Drosophila melanogaster: one gene and its partners. The protein of the gene in region 1 interacts with the protein of each later gene in a pairwise test. Each region holds a gene or a part of one and is shown in the gene's direction. Other genes may lie near its edges.

Region 1 (3,637 bases):
TAATATTGAATCCTAGCCAGTAAGAAGATTGCCCCGTTTTTCTAGGGGCGCACACCACACACACACAAACACACACAAACCATTCAACCAACAAATCCCCACCCCGCCCTAAAAACCTTTTTTGTAATTGTTAACCTTTTTTGGGAGTCCCAATTGGGATTGCTGAACTGCATGGCTCCCTTTTTTGGTCTTATTCAACAATTTTGTCGTACAATTCGTTTAGTTCTTAGCATCGTGAATAAATCTATAAATATAAATATTATATTTTTTAATCAATTTTAAGCATATGCATAGTATTAGTTGTAAACAAATTTTTAGGGTACAATAAATTACAGAAAACAATTAAACCAATTCTTGCATTGCCGGAGAGCCAGCCACAAACTTAACACATAATTCACATTTCATTACTCATTTCCGATATCAAATCCTCCACATGCCTTATCCATGTTACAGCTCCGATACGAAGTTAGTACTGTTATTTAGTTGAGACCGCGAGGGATCCAGCAACCTTATATACCATATACCATAAATCATAATACCATATGATACCATGATCGTCGCCTAGGACTGTTTCTTTCATTTTGTTCCACTTTAAATGCAAAAATAACAGAGAAACATCGAAAACTTAAAGCTAAAAAGATATGATAATTTGTACATATATTTGACAGATGAGGTATTCATCTTCGGTAAACCGAAATCTATATACTCTTCCCATTAGAACCGAACAGAACAGAGCAGAACTTCAGGTTTTCGATCCTCCATTGAAGATATGAATATAATATTGACTGAATATTAGCATATACACAGATTAGTAGGAATCTAGCAGAAGCAGAGGCTTGCATAAATCCCTAAACATACGAGGTAAAATAATATATATATATATACATATATATATTTTTGATTTATCGGACGGCAGTAAAGTAGGTTTACATTCAGGCGAATCATTCGGAACACAAACCAAATTCACTTTGGGCATGCGAAATCAAAATGTGATCAAAAAAATATGAAATTACAAAAACGTAAGAAAACGAGAATAATGAGAAAACAATTAAACGGAAACAAGCAGATGAGAAATTCACAATTATTGTAAGCTAAATACAAATAAAAATAAAAAAATAACTACAAATGCATTGTAATTCAGTCGGCATCAGTTTCAGTGTGTATGTGTGTTTGAAATTCTATGCTAAATGTAAAACAGTATAAGAATATAACAGTTTTTAAACCAAAATCGACTGGTGTTTGATTGTTTATTTGGGAGGCTTGAATCGCCAAATTAATAAATTGATTTTTAAGTCAGTTCCAGCAATTTTAAACTTATTTGTTATGTAAATGCAAATAATACATTATTAACATTTCGGCCAATTAATATTTTGTATAGATTATACAGCTTTTAAATAACTTAATTTTAAATATTCAATTAGATATTCAACTTATTTGTTCAAATTCAAAAGAACCATTTTTTCAATACAAATTTTGAACATTTATCGCACTGCTTGGCCTATCGATATGTATCGACTTTCGCCCACCGCTGGCGCACACACACATGCACAAGCACGCCCACTTCTCTTAATTTAGCCAAAGCCAAATAGCAAAAAGAACTAAACCAGCTTTTTTGGCCCCCATTTGTGTTGTTGGTGCTGTTCTGTGCGAATAAAAGGCCACGCGATGATAAGCTTTCTGTTCATTGTAAATCGGGCGCTCAGCAGCAGCAGCAGCAGTAGCAGTGCAGCGGCATCCTTAACGAGCAAGAAGATGACCGCCCCCGGGCCACGCCCCCTTGTCCTATGCGGTCCCTCGGGATCCGGAAAGAGTACGCTGCTGAAAAGGCTATTCGCCGAATTCCCCAGCACCTTTGGCTTCAGCATATCGCACACCACGCGGAAGCCGCGTGAGGGCGAGGAGCATGGCGTGCACTACTATTTTGTGGAACGTCCGGAAATGGAGGCAGCCATCGCTGGCGACGAGTTCATCGAGACGGCCGAGTTTACGGGCAATCTTTATGGAACGAGCAAGGCGGCGGTTAGAGAGATCCAGGCACAGGGACGGGTCTGCATACTGGACATCGAACAGAAGGGAGTGGAGCAGATCAAGCGTACGGATCTCAATCCCATACTGATATTCAACAATCCACCGAGCATCAAGGAGCTGGAGCGACGACTTCGCAAACGTGGCTCCGAAACGGAGGAGTCGCTGAGCAAGCGCCTCAATGCCGCTCAGGTGGAGCTCGATTATGGTTTGACGCCCGGCAACTTCCACAAGATCATCAATAACGTGGACATCGATGTGGCCTACGAGGAATTCCGCAACTTTGTCGTCCAGGAACTCAAGGAGCAGCAGAAGCAGGGAGTATCAGTTAACTTGAATTAAGGCGAAGCATTTTGCGGACGAATGTAGAATGATATTAACCTCAATGGGGTGGGGGTAGAAATTGTTTGTGAACTGATCGACGACAGGAAAAGTAAATTATAGAAAACTTATCATTGGAAACGGCAGGAAGCTATAGGAAAACCAGGTACTCTTTATGCATATTGTAAAGAATTTAGCTTATAAGAGAAACTTAAAAACTTTCCGAAGATACAGAATATCAAACTTCATATTTTAACTAATAGTTTTCTTAAATAAAATAGAAATAATACTCTCCATTCAATAATCGCATATATAAGAGCAATATCAAGATTTTAGTTTTATGTAGAAGCAGACTATTTTTGAATTCTAGGACAAACTTTGCTTATATTGTGAAAAATACTTTGTCAGCAGCAGAATATTGTTAGTAAACAATTGCTTAGCCAGCGAACTTGACCCAATGTTTCCAATGAAAGTAGACCATAGATTACTTTTCGTGACCCCGATGCCTGGAGCCCCCACCCTGCAAACCACTTTGACTAATGGCATTTATACTTAAGAAATGGCTTGTATTTATTATATACTCTCCTCCTGTCCACCTCATCATTGTTGTGCAAATTCGTTGTTCTAGTTGTAATTTTAAGCTGAAATTTGTTGCGCGCCGCTTCACGGTCGAGAAAACCGGAGAGGGCGATTAAAATGGAATCAATAAAGCGAACATTATGCGGGTATATTGTATTTTCACAAACGTTCTATATATATTTCCAACAAAGCCAAGCCCGAGAAGGTCAAAATGTTATCTATCGTCAGTGGGATTGTTTATACAGTGGCCGTCTGTCTCCTCACGCAATCGCTCGATTTTGTCCCCGGCCGCCCGCCTGCTGATGTCTGGAATTCTCACGGCTCTATTTGTCGAATGTAATACGCACGCCCACGCGAAAGTCCTGCTCCGAACCTTGGATTACGAGGGATACGCATTGGTCTTATAGTCATGGTGTAGATGCAGTTTGGCCTGGTATCTGGTGCTGCCCGTACCCGATTGTGTTCCATGTGTTCGATGCACCAGGCTGGCAGAGCCATCGATCTTCGTCCGACTGTCCGCACTGCTCCATAGCCCGGCGATGGCCTCCAGAGCCAGTTCCGTCTCCTCATCGTTGTCGTCGTGCTCCGCCGAAACCGTGAGATCGATCTGACGACGCTGGCGAGGCACCGATGCCGCCAAGCCGATGGAGATGACGAGCAGTAGCAGAAGGTACTGAAGCGCACGCATGTTGAAAACGAACTGAGATCGTCA
Region 2 (4,934 bases), on another chromosome or scaffold:
TAACATCGGAAGTAAAATAAAGCGATTTAACTATTTCCATAGATTATTTTCACAATATTTGAATGTGAGTAGGTAAAAAGTAAGATTTTTCATAATAATTAATTATTAATATGCAACCCTTTTAGCACGGATGACCGGTTGAAGTGACAATATATGTAGGCCACAACTCTTAATTAAATGGTTATTCATATAATGCATAGTTAAATATTTAAATACATTTGCTCATACGCTCTTTTTGCTGGTTATGATTTCGATTAATGCGCGCATTTGTGGGGAGCAATATAATTGCTTTGGCAAACATTAAATTCATATCGGATCGGCATCATCTGCCAACTGGCAATATTTAGCCATAACGATATAAATATTTTCTGCATAAATTGCTTGCATACGGATAACGATTTGCATTCACATAAATATTCAGCACTTAGATTGGGTCAATTGCCATCCCTCATATGACCGGAAGTGAATGGATTGTTACATCTGGAGCAACTTCTTGACCGTGATTTATCTGGCGCATTCATCGCCAACTGTTGCTCAAAATCCAAGGATACTCAAAGAGTGGAGGAGTAGCTCTCCATTTTGGCCGGGTATTGTTATATTGTGTTAATGCATGACGTTGTTAGGCAGCTCAAAGTGTACAAAAGAAATTAGCAAACTTGAAAAATAAGAAAAGCTGCGAATTCAGCGGCAACTGTTGACAGTTATCCTGGCACAAACACGCATTGTAATGTCTAACAAGCTTCACAGCAAACATCGCCCGTCACTCAACGGCCTCACAGTCCTGACAGGTCCTGCGTCCTTAAGTGTGTGTGGCTGTGTGTCGGTGGGTGTGTACGGGTGTGTGGGCGTCTGTCATTTACATATTTACACTTTGTTCCCGGTGCCTTGGACTGAACTTTAGCCCGTGGTGGTGCTGTGCGCCACATGTCCTGCCCCAAGCATGTCCCGCTCGGAAAAATATCCAAATATTTTACTTTAACGCAGTGCTAATGTAACTATGCTCCTCCACATGCACGTCCCCACGGTTCCTCTGCTCAAAATCCTTGTTTGTTTAAAGTATCACTTTTAAAAATTTAAGCGTTCAGCCATTTTCCGCTGACATTATAATGTGCAAAAACAATTGAATAGAGATTGAAACGTTCAACTTACGCGCTTATTAAAGTAATTGAGTTTTAAAGAATTTGAAACCTGCACAAGTTTCCCCATCCCATCATTTCTCAATAAAAAGTATCAAGTTGTAAGATTAAGAATTTTAAGAAGTATTTCACTATCAAAGCTTTTTTTTTTTTAAGTGGGGAGGTGATAATTGCGGGTTGAAGGACCACTCGACGAATATTGCATATACTGTATAGGCTGTATAGACTGTATAGACTGTATACTTATCAGTTCATCAGTTACCCCTTTGGCAAAACCCAAGATTGAGCACCCACATGCATACATTGCTGCTTCGCGCAGGTCATTCTTGGTAGTGATTACAAGATACTGACTGAGAAGATACTTTCATCTGCAGTGATATATTTTCCCCCGTGCAATGCGATTAAGACAACTGCCGGCGGTGGCGACAATGCATTTTAAGGTGGCAAGTGCGAGCCCAAATGGCCCAAAGGCGCCAAAGGGAAAATGCAATTTCCACCGAAAATAACGGATAGCGGCCTGTAGCTGATTCACTTTGGTGCAATTTGCATGAATCCGGTGGCTAACATACGGCTAACAGGCGCTGTTATCGTTGCTGCCGCAGCTGTGTTTATTGCGCACAACTCATTCATAAAAGCGGGGAGAGCGCTCTCTCGGAGGAGATAGAGAGAGAGACAGAGAGAGAGAGAGAGAGCGGAGATTGAGTTGTCGGCGGCTGCTGTGCTTGTGTGCAATAAATACAAAGGACTCAGCATCCGCGGCAACAGTGCCGTCGCAGTGCTGAGCGCAGAGTGTCGCAGGTCCAAGGACTCAGTCATCGCGTAGCCGCCGTGTGTGACGGACCGACGCCGCTTTGTGGCCGATTTAAAGCGAGTCTTGATGCGAGAAGTGCATTCAATTAACATAAAATGTAATTAGGGACCCTCTCTCCGCCTCTCTTAATCAAACGCAAACATCGGAAACTGAGCCGCGGAGGCAAAACGAATGCCATTAAAGCGCCTGCGAATAAATCACGGCATGCCAGTGCAGTCGAAACTCAATCAAGTTGAACGGAAATCGTCGAAAATTAAACGTAAATTAAATACCACCCGGCCACGCGGCATTCGGACCGCCTTTATTAGAAGTTATGGCTGCCAACCTTTGCCAGCTTTGTTTCATCCATCAATGTGTGCGACAGTCACGTGGGTGTGCGGATTGGGATCCGGACTTGGTTGCGATTGGGATCGAGATGGGGTGGGGATTGGGATTGGGATTGCCGCTGGCATGGCGCTAATTTCTCACACTTCAAACGTGGCAATGAATTTCCGCTCCAGCCTCCTGCGGATGCTTTCGTTCCGTTTGGCTTTGCTTTGCTTTCCCAGCCACCATGTTCCCAGCTCCCCGATTTCCCGGTGGCGCCCCTCACTCCCTGACCACCTAACACCCTTACCCGCTCCAGTGCTCGTGCCATTTGGATAGCTAAGCCTCTCCAGTGCCACAGATTAAATGGATTGACGGTGCAGTTACCACGGCCGTTGGATAAACACGAGCACGAGCACTTGGACCGGGAGTGTGCGTCCATCGGGGAAGACCTCCTCCGTATTCACTTCTTTATGATTAGTTAATGGGATTCAATTTCATTCGAAATCAGCCGCCACAGAACGTGGCAATCGCAGCTGCCGCAGCTTCCTTCGCAAATTTCGTAAGGCAACTTTCTGAAGGAAACACTTGTTGGGTCTTTCTCAACTAACCAGGCACGTAGCTCCGGCGAAAGGAGTACCAAGTGGGGGAGTTGGGAGGCGGAGGACGAAAGCCGAACGGCTGAAGGCCGGGGAAAGTGAATCACAGTTGCGCCATTAGGAGGCCGTGAAATAAATTCAATATAAGCGGGTCCTAATGGCGGTAGTTGAGTTCCATTTACATTCAGCCTCCATAAATTGGCATGGCTGCGAAAATCGTTGCCTACTTAAGAGGGCCCACATTTAGCAGGCGCAGCACCGGCATTGTGAATGCAGCATACCACCGCCATTCTGTACATTCTAAAAATAACAAACAACTCGAGTGCGATAAAAACAGCCGTTCCTACCAAGGTATAAAGTGCTAGCGTAAACACAGCCGAAGAAGGAGCGCAAACAAACATCGGAGCCACCTAAAACGGCGAACAAACAGCGGCGAAGGTTCCTGTACTGTGCGGAATCCTCGCTGTGTCGGTGTATTGGTGTACCGGTGTACCGGTTTGTCGGTATATCGCTCTGTGTGTGTGCCAGTGTGTGTGGGCCAAAGGAGCCAAGCAAAGAGTCAGAGCAAAAATGTGCAAGTAAGGTGCAGCAAGCAAAGTGCAATGCCATCCGTGAAATCCGCCGAAAGTGAGATTCTTCTTGGGATTATAAGGAGCGACAGCATGACGAGCGGCAATTCCCTGAGGTCCTGCCTCCTGCTGGCCACCATCCTGGGATTACTCTGCCGGACGAAGGGTGAGTGGAGCGTCTGGGAGTCTGGGAGTCCCTCAATCTTCGGACTGAGCAGCTCTCTGTCGCCGATTGCTTTGCTTGAATTATGGAGAGCAGTCGGAATAAAAGGAGAATCCGTTTTACAGCCTTATTAAATCTGTATTACATAAATTACGGCAAGCGTTTCACTCTGCATTTTTATGAGTGCTTTGCGCTTTCACATTTCACATTTTCCATTTGCCTTTCCCTGCTTTTATGTCATAATGAGTGCAGCCTTTTGATTTAATGACAACTGTTTGCCATAAAACAACATACATATGCACACACAGCGCTGACTTTTATGTGGCCCGTGATTTATTTCACTTCTTATTTTTATGATAATTTATCAAATATGCATAATAAAATGCCAGCAAACGTTTATGGCCTCTGTGAATTTTGCCAAAATTTCATTTGTAAGGTGGCAACAGCTTGCCGATCGGATTTTGTGTGCTGAATTCCTACTGCAGGGTGGACCTTGTTCTGTCCTAAGTAACGAATTATAAACCACGATTGTTGTATATACCACTAAGGGACTGTAAGCGATGCCTGTTTCCCTGCTCTATAAGTCTTTCATTTTGTAGACAGGCTTCAATAATCGAGGAGGCAGTTCACGTAGTGACGAATGTAGAGTCAATATTTAATTGTGTTCGGACCATGCGATGCATTAAAATATTCGCAAATTTAGTAGAAAACATTTTATAGTATTATGCGATTTCACGTAGAAACCTTTCCTTAACACTTTGGCTTAAAAATGTTTCTATCTTTGGGTGTTTCATAGACTTTGTAGCTTGAAGTCTAATCACTTTAAGTTTAAGACTAGGCCATCGATTTTCATTTTCTGTAATGGATCATATGTATATATTTTTAATCAGTAAAGGCTTTTCCTTTTTACTTGCTTTTGCTTGTTTTATACATTAGTTTGGTATATTTCAAAGAATCCATAAAAACTTTGAGATGTTGATAAGATATTTGTGACTATTCAAAGGGAAACTGCCTTGAACTTTTGAACCGCTCTTCTTTGTTTTCTCTTGAGATATGAAATGACCAAAAAGGTTCACTGTCGCCTTTTGTTTTTGTTAACAACTCCACTATAGCTTAATTATTTTTTATGATTCTTTATCTACGTTCAACATTTTTATGCGAAATGTGCTGTTCAACGGAGATAAATACCGATTTTAGATATTTTTAACTTAAGCTATTAAGACAAATTCGAGCACAAGATATTATTAAATGGTGTTCTTAATATTCACACTTAGTGATTTTATTAATTCGTTTCGCTTTGTAATGTTTTTATTGATTTGAGCTCAATTTTGTTTTCTTCAAAACGGAATT
Region 3 (7,899 bases), 6.3 Mb from region 1:
TTCTTATAGAAAACCCATGCTTCCAATTCAACTAAAATGTGAGTGTTTTTGGTATCGTTCTAAACTTCGATGAGGAATTTGCGACTCGGTGAGCGGGCAACCTTGGCTCCAAATTGCTTTATTCTCTGCCGGACGTCGGCCAACGTCAGCTTGTTCCTCTTGCTGTAGACATTGAGATATATGCCCAGGACAACGATGAGGCCCGACCACAGATATCTGAAAGTTTGGGATAGGTATAATAGAGCTTTGTCTTTAGAAATACACAGAATAGTACTTACTGTAAGGTAAAGGGCTTGCTGAAAAGCACAAAGGAGAAGGCTATAGTCACAGCCTTGCGGGCGGTGGTCACTGTGGCAGCTATGGGGGCACCACTACTCCTCACCAGAGCCAGCACAAACTGAATGCCCAGATAGCCGGACAAACTAAAGAGGAAGCCATAGCCGAAGGTCTCAACGGGATGCTAAATGGATAATACACTTTAGATCTCTTACATCATAAACCTCAAATGTTACCCACCTCCAAACAGAATGCAAAGCCGCTGAAGAAGTTGCCGGTAACCAGCATAATCACAAATAGGTACACAAAACCCAAGCCGTATGAGTAGAACACCACCTCACTGCTGGGCGCCTTGAATTCCCGCATCGCCTTCTCCTGGACATTGCCAATGGCTGCGTCGCAGAGCAGCGCTCCCGAAATCATGGCCACACCAAGCAGATTGAAATTGGGCGTCATCTGGGAGTCGGCCAGCGTGAACCAGGCCAATCCGATGCACATGCAGGTGGCTGCCGCAAAGTCCAGCAGTCCGTAGCGTTTGCCCTGTATGAGGATGCTGCCCACCAGCACGGGAATGAGCTTGCAGCACTTGAAAATCACCTGGGTGGGATAGTTCAGGTAGCCGAGACTTGAGTTGGACAGACCCATGGTACCCAGCGTGAGAGCAGCCAGAATTAGGTATGTTCTCATGGGAATGCAACGTGGCTCCGGCTCAATGTTCCAAAAGGAACCGCCGCTTATCCGATAGCCCTCCAGCCGCCGCTCCACCAAACCGAAGCCGATGTAGTAGCCAAACTGGACGAGCGTGAGGAACCATCCGTAGGGTTTGAATCCTTCGACGGTGAAGATCAGCTCCTGCAGATAGCCGTACAGGATGTACAGGAAGAAGACGCCGGCGCAGCTGAGCAGGAACTGAGTTGTGCGATTGTAGTAGGTGAGGTCAAAGCAAAGGATACGGAGTTCCGGCGGAGATTCCGACGTCGAGGACTTCCGCTGCGAGGGCGGCGAGTTTCCCGCCGATTCGCCGCCATTAATGGTGATAACGCTCCCCTTATTATCGGTCATTCTGCTGCTAGCGGATGTGTCTATATACATATACACACTATATAGTGGCTATTTCAAGATTATATTTCCAGGGAGCCCGTGTAATTCAATGCCACGCTGTCCGCGGAGTTGTCGGTTTAAAGTGCGGATTTGTCATGCCTCCTCGGATGCTGCATTAATCACGGGCCGGCGTGGAGATTTCTGTTGGGTGCAAATTGCCCTGGCTAAATGTTTGTTTACCACAAATAAACTATTTTTGTCAGCTTAGAACTGAGATAGACGCGCGGCGTTGCCACGTTGTGGTAATAATAGAAGAGAGACCGGTATAACGTGGAACAAGTTGGCAGCTCTGCTACCACCGTCATTCTAATTGGAACTTCTGCTACTGGCAATAAATACATTTAACAAATGAGCAGCGATAAAGGTTTAAGCCGCTTTTTTGCTCAAAAAAGCGTATGATAAGCGCTAAAAACTACTTAAAAAGTAGTGCCGAGAGTAACTCCTAGTATTTGACTACATGTCGTTCTAAGAATACAAAGATATGGGCACACTGTCGGAAAAAACAAGAAGAAGCAGTGAAAAGTGCCGCTGAAAAAGTGCAAAAAGTTATGAATTTAGTATTTTACATAGGATAATAGTGCTAATAACAGTCGCAAAATGGACGTGCAACCGCCACGCGGTAAGTGCAGCAATTAAAAAGTGCTGAATATAACTTAAAATCAAGCTAATTTTGTGCCCAAGTCGATTGGCATGCACATGTGTACACATACAAACAAACAAGCGCACGCACAACCTTTGATATGCTCACATTTTTTGCAAAAACCATTTGCTTTCTATTTGCAGATGCCAGTTTACGAAATATTATCGACAAACTGGCGGAGTTTGTGGCCAGAAATGGGCCGGAATTCGAGGCGATAACCAAGCAGAAGCAGCAGAACAATCCAAAGTTCGAGTTCCTCTACGGCGGGGAGTTCGCCAACTATTATCAATTCAGGGTGGCAGCGGAACAAGCTCGTGAGTGCGTTCTAAATTGGTGGAAAATAACCCCTATAATCTCCTTTTAACACCCAATACAGTGCTAAAGCAACAGGCCATTAACCAACAACTGCCACCAGGTGCTCCATCCGGCCACTACATGCAACATCCGCCGCCAATGCAGCAATCCCAACCACCGGGCCTCTATCCGCCACCCAATCAGCAGCCACCGCACCCGCCCGAAACCGCACAAGACAATATGCAACAGCAAACACAGCACTCCTGGCCGCCGAACTCCGGCAACGGTGGGCCGCCAAACAATCAGCAGGCCAATGGCAATCCCATGGCCATGAATCTAACGTCACAACTGGAAGCCATCAAGATGCAGCAGAAGTCGCTGCGGGAACAGATCCAGCAATCCGAAGCGAATCTCTCCGCACAGCACACGGTAATTTGAAGTTGGAAATAACTGGGATACCTCTATATGCCCACCTTTGCAAGCCTTTTTCCGAAAGATTAGAGCAGCTCGAGTGTATAAAGAAAAGATTTCAATATGATTTCATGTTGAATGTTGGCCTCCTCTGGCAAAAATTTAAAGAAGCAAATTGGTTTCCTTTTTAAACTAAATACCCACCTAAAAGTTGCTTTTATAGTCTGAATATAAGAACGTGTTTGCTTCTTCGAATTTTTGACCTCCCTTTTAAACGACCCAATCGAATGTGAATATACCTCGATTTTAAGCCAGAATGCTTTTAATTATTTTCTTAAGAGAGAAGATAACTTGTATAACCCTTATATACTTTCGGACTTAAATGATTTCCAAAGATATTGTCATAGACTCATAGATGGCAGTTTTGTATTCCCTAGTTTTTGTAATAACAACTCTGGAACAAGAGTTCATCAAATGGTGTTTAATATTAATAATTATGAACTGCTTTTGTGGACTTTTCACTCTATAAGTACTGTGAACTAAATTCTTTCTAATAAGAAGGACATTTCTTATTGCTTGTCGCTATTGAATTTCCCTGTAATGGAAGTGACTTCCCTCTTGAAATTGTTTCTTATGAAACTAATCCACGAATTCCTCAGAATAATCAATCCTGCTCTCGACCCTTTTCCAAATGTTTTTTCAATCGATCTACTCAGTTCTTGTTCTCCAAGTGCGGATAAGATAAAGTTAAAGTGTACTTTCAGCAATATCAAACTACAATCTATATTTGTCATTATTTTTACTATTTAATTAACAATTTACAATGCTACATTAAATTTTTGCTTTATTGTATTTTTTGAAACATAAACCAAAAAAAAAAAAACCAAATCAAACCACTCTTCATACCAACTGACAAAACTGTATAAAAACAAAAAAAAAACAAATCCTAAAATCAAATTTGTTTTGAAACGCTTGTCAAATGAATCCCAAAATGCGAATATGCATGCGAACAAACCTTTGTGTGCCTAATGACCAAACCGAACCGATCCGAACCACACCAACGCTTGCGATCCTAATCGCACCAATCAACCAAACGAAACCAACCTGTAGGCCCTGATGAATCAGAAGACCAAGCAGATCGAGGATGCAATTGCGGCGGCGCAGACGGCGCAGCAGGAACAGATGGCTGGCGAACAGGGCATTGTGCTGAGGGACTTCGATGGCGTTCTGCAGCCGATCATCGAGTCCTGCACGAAGGACAGCATCTCTGCAGGTAAATACGAGTTCAGCGGACAGGCTGGATTACATTATTGCTTGTTTGTAGTCTCGTAATCAGTCATAAGTTAGCTAATGGAGCTGAATTTTTGATGCTCCGCAGCTTTGCTGCACACAAAGCGCACACTAAATGAATCCATACTACTTTTTGATTAATCCTAAACCTAATTTATAATCGCCATGGACAATGACAATATGAGTAACCCGTTTGATATTGCAATTTTAGGCAAGAACTGGATTTTACAGCATTCAACCGACAGCGCAAAAATCAATGTCGTTTTACAATATCTTTTAAAGAAGTATGCCTCAGTTTTATACCTAATGACCTGCAATATGTATTAATTAAATTGTGTTTCTTTCTTTCAACGAGTGAAATACTAACCAAACATAGAAAAACGAAATACGAAATATCGAACAAACAAGTGAGAGATGATCGATTGAGCGATTGTGCGATTGAGACTTCCACAGAGAGGCTCGAGATTGATTCGTTGATTCGTTTTCGAGAGATGTTATGATCATATATGAGTAGTCCCCAGATCCGGAAGTCTTTTAGCTAGGGCCACACACCCAAACAAATCATTTTACTTAATAAGCTTAACCATAAACACGCACAACAACACACCAACACTTAACAGTGATAATCATCGGACAAAAAAAAAAAACCAAAAAAAAAAACACAAATACCAAAAAGAAAGAAGATTTACTAACAAAAATCATTATACTTGCACAACAAGTACTTTTGGCAATGTTGTTGTGCATACAGAGAACTAGAAAAATATGTTTTTCGTTTGTTAATTTATTTTTAGGGCTTTGGTCAATGGTTCAACGTTTCAGCAAAAATTGCATCTTATATATTTAGTTAATGATATACTCCATCACTGGTAAGTTCGCCCAGTCAATTATTAGTATAGTATAGTATTTAAGGGCCATAGACCTCAATAACTAACCCACTGAGCAGTAAGACTACTTTGTGGGTTAGTTTCTGCGGACGACTACGCTGACAGAATTGGACTGAACCTGACCGACCACCGGACTTCGGACATCATACCTTGACATTTAGAGTAGCTAGGAGATGAGACCTAAGTCCAACGATATATTTACAGCATGCGCAAGAACATCAATGACTTGAAGAACAGCCTCGAGAACGTCGTCATTCCGATGTTCTGCAGCGCCGACTTGAGTATGTATTTCCACTTCGATCCATTCCTTTACGGATTTCTAATAGTGTTATCCTCGCCCACAGTTGGCAACCCCGACCAGCGCCAGAAGCTAGCCAAGCTGCTGTCTCTGTGGGAGTCCAAGGCGAAGTTCTTCGATGCCTGCGTCATCTCGAAGCTTCAGTCACCGGACTCGTCAATGCAGGAGTACAAAACCAATCTGCAGAACACACATCATGATATAACTGCTAAATTCACGCAGAATACCAAGGCGACTTTGGATAAGTAAGTATAAAAGTCCAAGAACATAATAGAGCACATAATAAACCATAACTCTTATGCTTCAGCTATCAGAAACAGCATCATGTATTTATCCAACATGCTAGCCAGCAAATTGTGCAGCTGGAGAAACAGGCGCAGCACCTGGAGCAGCAGATTGTGGCCCAGAAGTCCCAGCAGCAACACATGCTTCAGCATCAGCAGAAGAACATACCATCGCTGATGTCCCACCGAATAGCAATGCCGGGTGACCATGAGCACATGAATAGCCAGGGGCCGCATGATCAGCAGCATCCGCAGGCGGGAAATAATATGTATCCAGGTGGTAACTTCCAACAGCAGCAGCCACCACCGGGGAATCACTTTGCGGATCCACGCGGACCGAACTTCTTCATTCCGGACATGTCCAAACCACCACCAGGCTTCCCCGGACCCATGCATCATAATCAGGGCCCAGCAATGGGCCAGCAGCAGCCACAACCGGGACAGTTTCCGCCCATGCAGGCGCCGGGTTCTGGCAATGAACCACCTGTTGATCTTGGCGTTCTCAGTGCAGCGATTCAGGCGTGCTTACAGATGCAGCAGCAACACCATCCTGACGACCCTCAGCAACAAGGACAGCACCAACTGCAGCAGCAGCAGCAGCAACAACCGCAGCAGCAAAAGCAGCCGCCGCCAATGGCTGCCTATCCCCAGAATATTGTTAGACCTGGCCAGCAAAATGCTGATAGCAGCGAAGTGGATCTGGATGTGCTCAATGCAGCCATTCGCGCGGTTATAACCAACAAACCCGAAGACGGAACATTGGAAGATGGCCAGCAACCACAGAAATTGGTCGACGGAGAATCTGGAGAACCTGTTGTGATCGGAGAGCCACAAATACCCACAGCGCCTTACTACGACCTGCCAGCGGGCCTCATGGTGCCGCTCATTCGTCTGGAGGATTACAACTACAAAGCCCTCGATCCGGCGGACATTCGACTGCCAGCTCCAGCGCCACAAAGCGAGCGATTAACAAATGCATTGAACGCCTTCTATTCCGCACCCTCACACGATCGTCCAAGGGATAAGTAAGTATTTCAATTTGATGTTATTGAGCGTTCCTTATAAATGGGCTTATCTTGCAGTGAGGGTTGGGAGAAGCTTGGTCTCTATGAGTACTATAAGGTGAAGAATGCGGCGCGAAAGCAAAAAGAAGAGGAAATCAAGGACGGCATTCGAGAAAAGTCGCGGTCGCCAAGTCCGATTGTGCTCGAGAAACCCCTACCCAAAAAGAGCAACAAGCGAGTTTATCGGTGAGTGTTGGTTTTCCATCAAAAATTTTCACACAAAAACTAGAAATATTTGCACTTATTTTCTTGCGCAGATCCAAGAGTCGCAGTCGCTCCCGCTCAAAAACGCCGCCCCATCGAGATAGATCGTTGTCTCGCTCCCGATCCCGCTCGCGATCCATGGAGCGCTCTTTAACGCCGCCACCGATGAATCGGAGCAGGTTGGGCGGTGGTAACAACCGCAAGGGTCGCAATCGATCTCCTCGCCACGAACGGGACAACAACAGCGGCAGCACAAATACCAGAGAGGGCCGTGGTGATCGTGGCAATTCCAATAGCCGAGACAATGGCAACAGCACCAACCTAAGACGAGTGGACCGCGACAGATCTCTAACACCTCCGAGCTTTCTGTAAATCATGGCTATAGTACAATTTCATGACAGTCGGACCAATGAGCTATCTTTGTTTTTCCAGGGGAAGCACATTTGCCAAGCCAGCGGATTTCATCGAGGAATCGAACAAGGGCCACCAAATGCTCATGAAAATGGGTTGGGCGGGCACGGGAACTGGACTGGGCTCAAAGAATCAAGGCATCGACACGCCCATTTCGGGAGGCGAGGTGCGCGATCGTCGAGAGATGTACAAGGTGAAGTGGCAAGAGTGCGCAAGAAAGGACAACTTATAATTTTCTATCCACAGGGAGTGGGCGCTAATATGCACGATCCCTTCGAGAGCTTTCGGAAGAACAAAGGAGCTGCCTTCGCGCACCGGATGCGATCGCGAGACGACAAGAGTTAGGATCTGCCAACGGTCATAACTTCCCAGTTTTTTGTTTCCTTTAGCCCAGAAAATATACATTTTTATAAAAGCGAACTGAATTTTTATACAAGATTAGGCTATAACATTAAAGCTGGATTGAGCGGCCTTGGCATTTACTTTTTCCAGGACCTGGACCAGGCCCTTGCCAGGACCGCATTCGAAGGTGCGTGGAAAGTCGACGCCCTGCTTGCGCTCGTACATCTCGTGGAGAGTCTGCTCCCACTTGACGGGCCTCACGATTTGCTTGGGCAGCTGCGTTAGGATGTGCTTGGCATGGCGATAGGGTTTGCCATCCACATTGGAGTACACTCTAATGACGGGGTCCTGAAGTCGCACCGTTTTCAGGGCTTTGGTAAATGGCTCCACGGCGCTTTGC

What was found.
Region 2: the proteins of CG11811 (region 1) and CG15236 interact in a two-hybrid assay, tested with the Drosophila melanogaster proteins (one large-scale study listed by BioGRID).
Region 3: the proteins of CG11811 (region 1) and scaf6 interact in a two-hybrid assay, tested with the Drosophila melanogaster proteins (one large-scale study listed by BioGRID).

The regions. Positions count from the first base shown.
Region 1 is NT_037436.4:10,689,511-10,693,147, forward strand, and holds CG11811 (uncharacterized protein), read left to right. Parts: upstream 1-1,513; 5' UTR 1,514-1,665; coding exon 1,666-2,367; 3' UTR 2,368-3,088; downstream 3,089-3,637. Other genes in the region: CG33493 (uncharacterized protein), read right to left, coding at 3,305-3,613.
Region 2 is NT_033778.4:6,826,462-6,831,395, forward strand, and holds the start of CG15236 (uncharacterized protein), read left to right. Parts: upstream 1-1,894; 5' UTR 1,895-2,206; intron 2,207-3,040; exon of another isoform or gene 3,041-3,099; 5' UTR 3,100-3,454; coding exon 3,455-3,587; intron 3,588-4,834; exon of another isoform or gene 4,835-4,932; coding exon of another isoform or gene 4,933-4,934. Other genes in the region: CG34215 (uncharacterized protein), read right to left, coding at 4,933-4,934.
Region 3 is NT_037436.4:17,036,535-17,044,433, reverse strand, and holds scaf6 (SR-related CTD associated factor 6), read left to right. Parts: upstream 1-1,859; 5' UTR 1,860-1,974; coding exon 1,975-1,996; intron 1,997-2,160; coding exon 2,161-2,331; intron 2,332-2,393; coding exon 2,394-2,740; coding exon of another isoform or gene 2,741-2,749; exon of another isoform or gene 2,750-3,500; intron 3,501-3,832; coding exon 3,833-3,995; intron 3,996-4,223; coding exon 4,224-4,296; intron 4,297-4,803; coding exon 4,804-4,878; intron 4,879-5,100; coding exon 5,101-5,177; intron 5,178-5,240; coding exon 5,241-5,439; intron 5,440-5,501; coding exon 5,502-6,503; intron 6,504-6,560; coding exon 6,561-6,728; intron 6,729-6,799; coding exon 6,800-7,114; intron 7,115-7,178; coding exon 7,179-7,350; intron 7,351-7,403; coding exon 7,404-7,502; 3' UTR 7,503-7,575; downstream 7,576-7,899. Other genes in the region: Papst2 (PAPS transporter 2), read right to left, coding at 60-216, 279-460, 517-1,368; beg (bad egg), read right to left, coding at 7,596-7,899.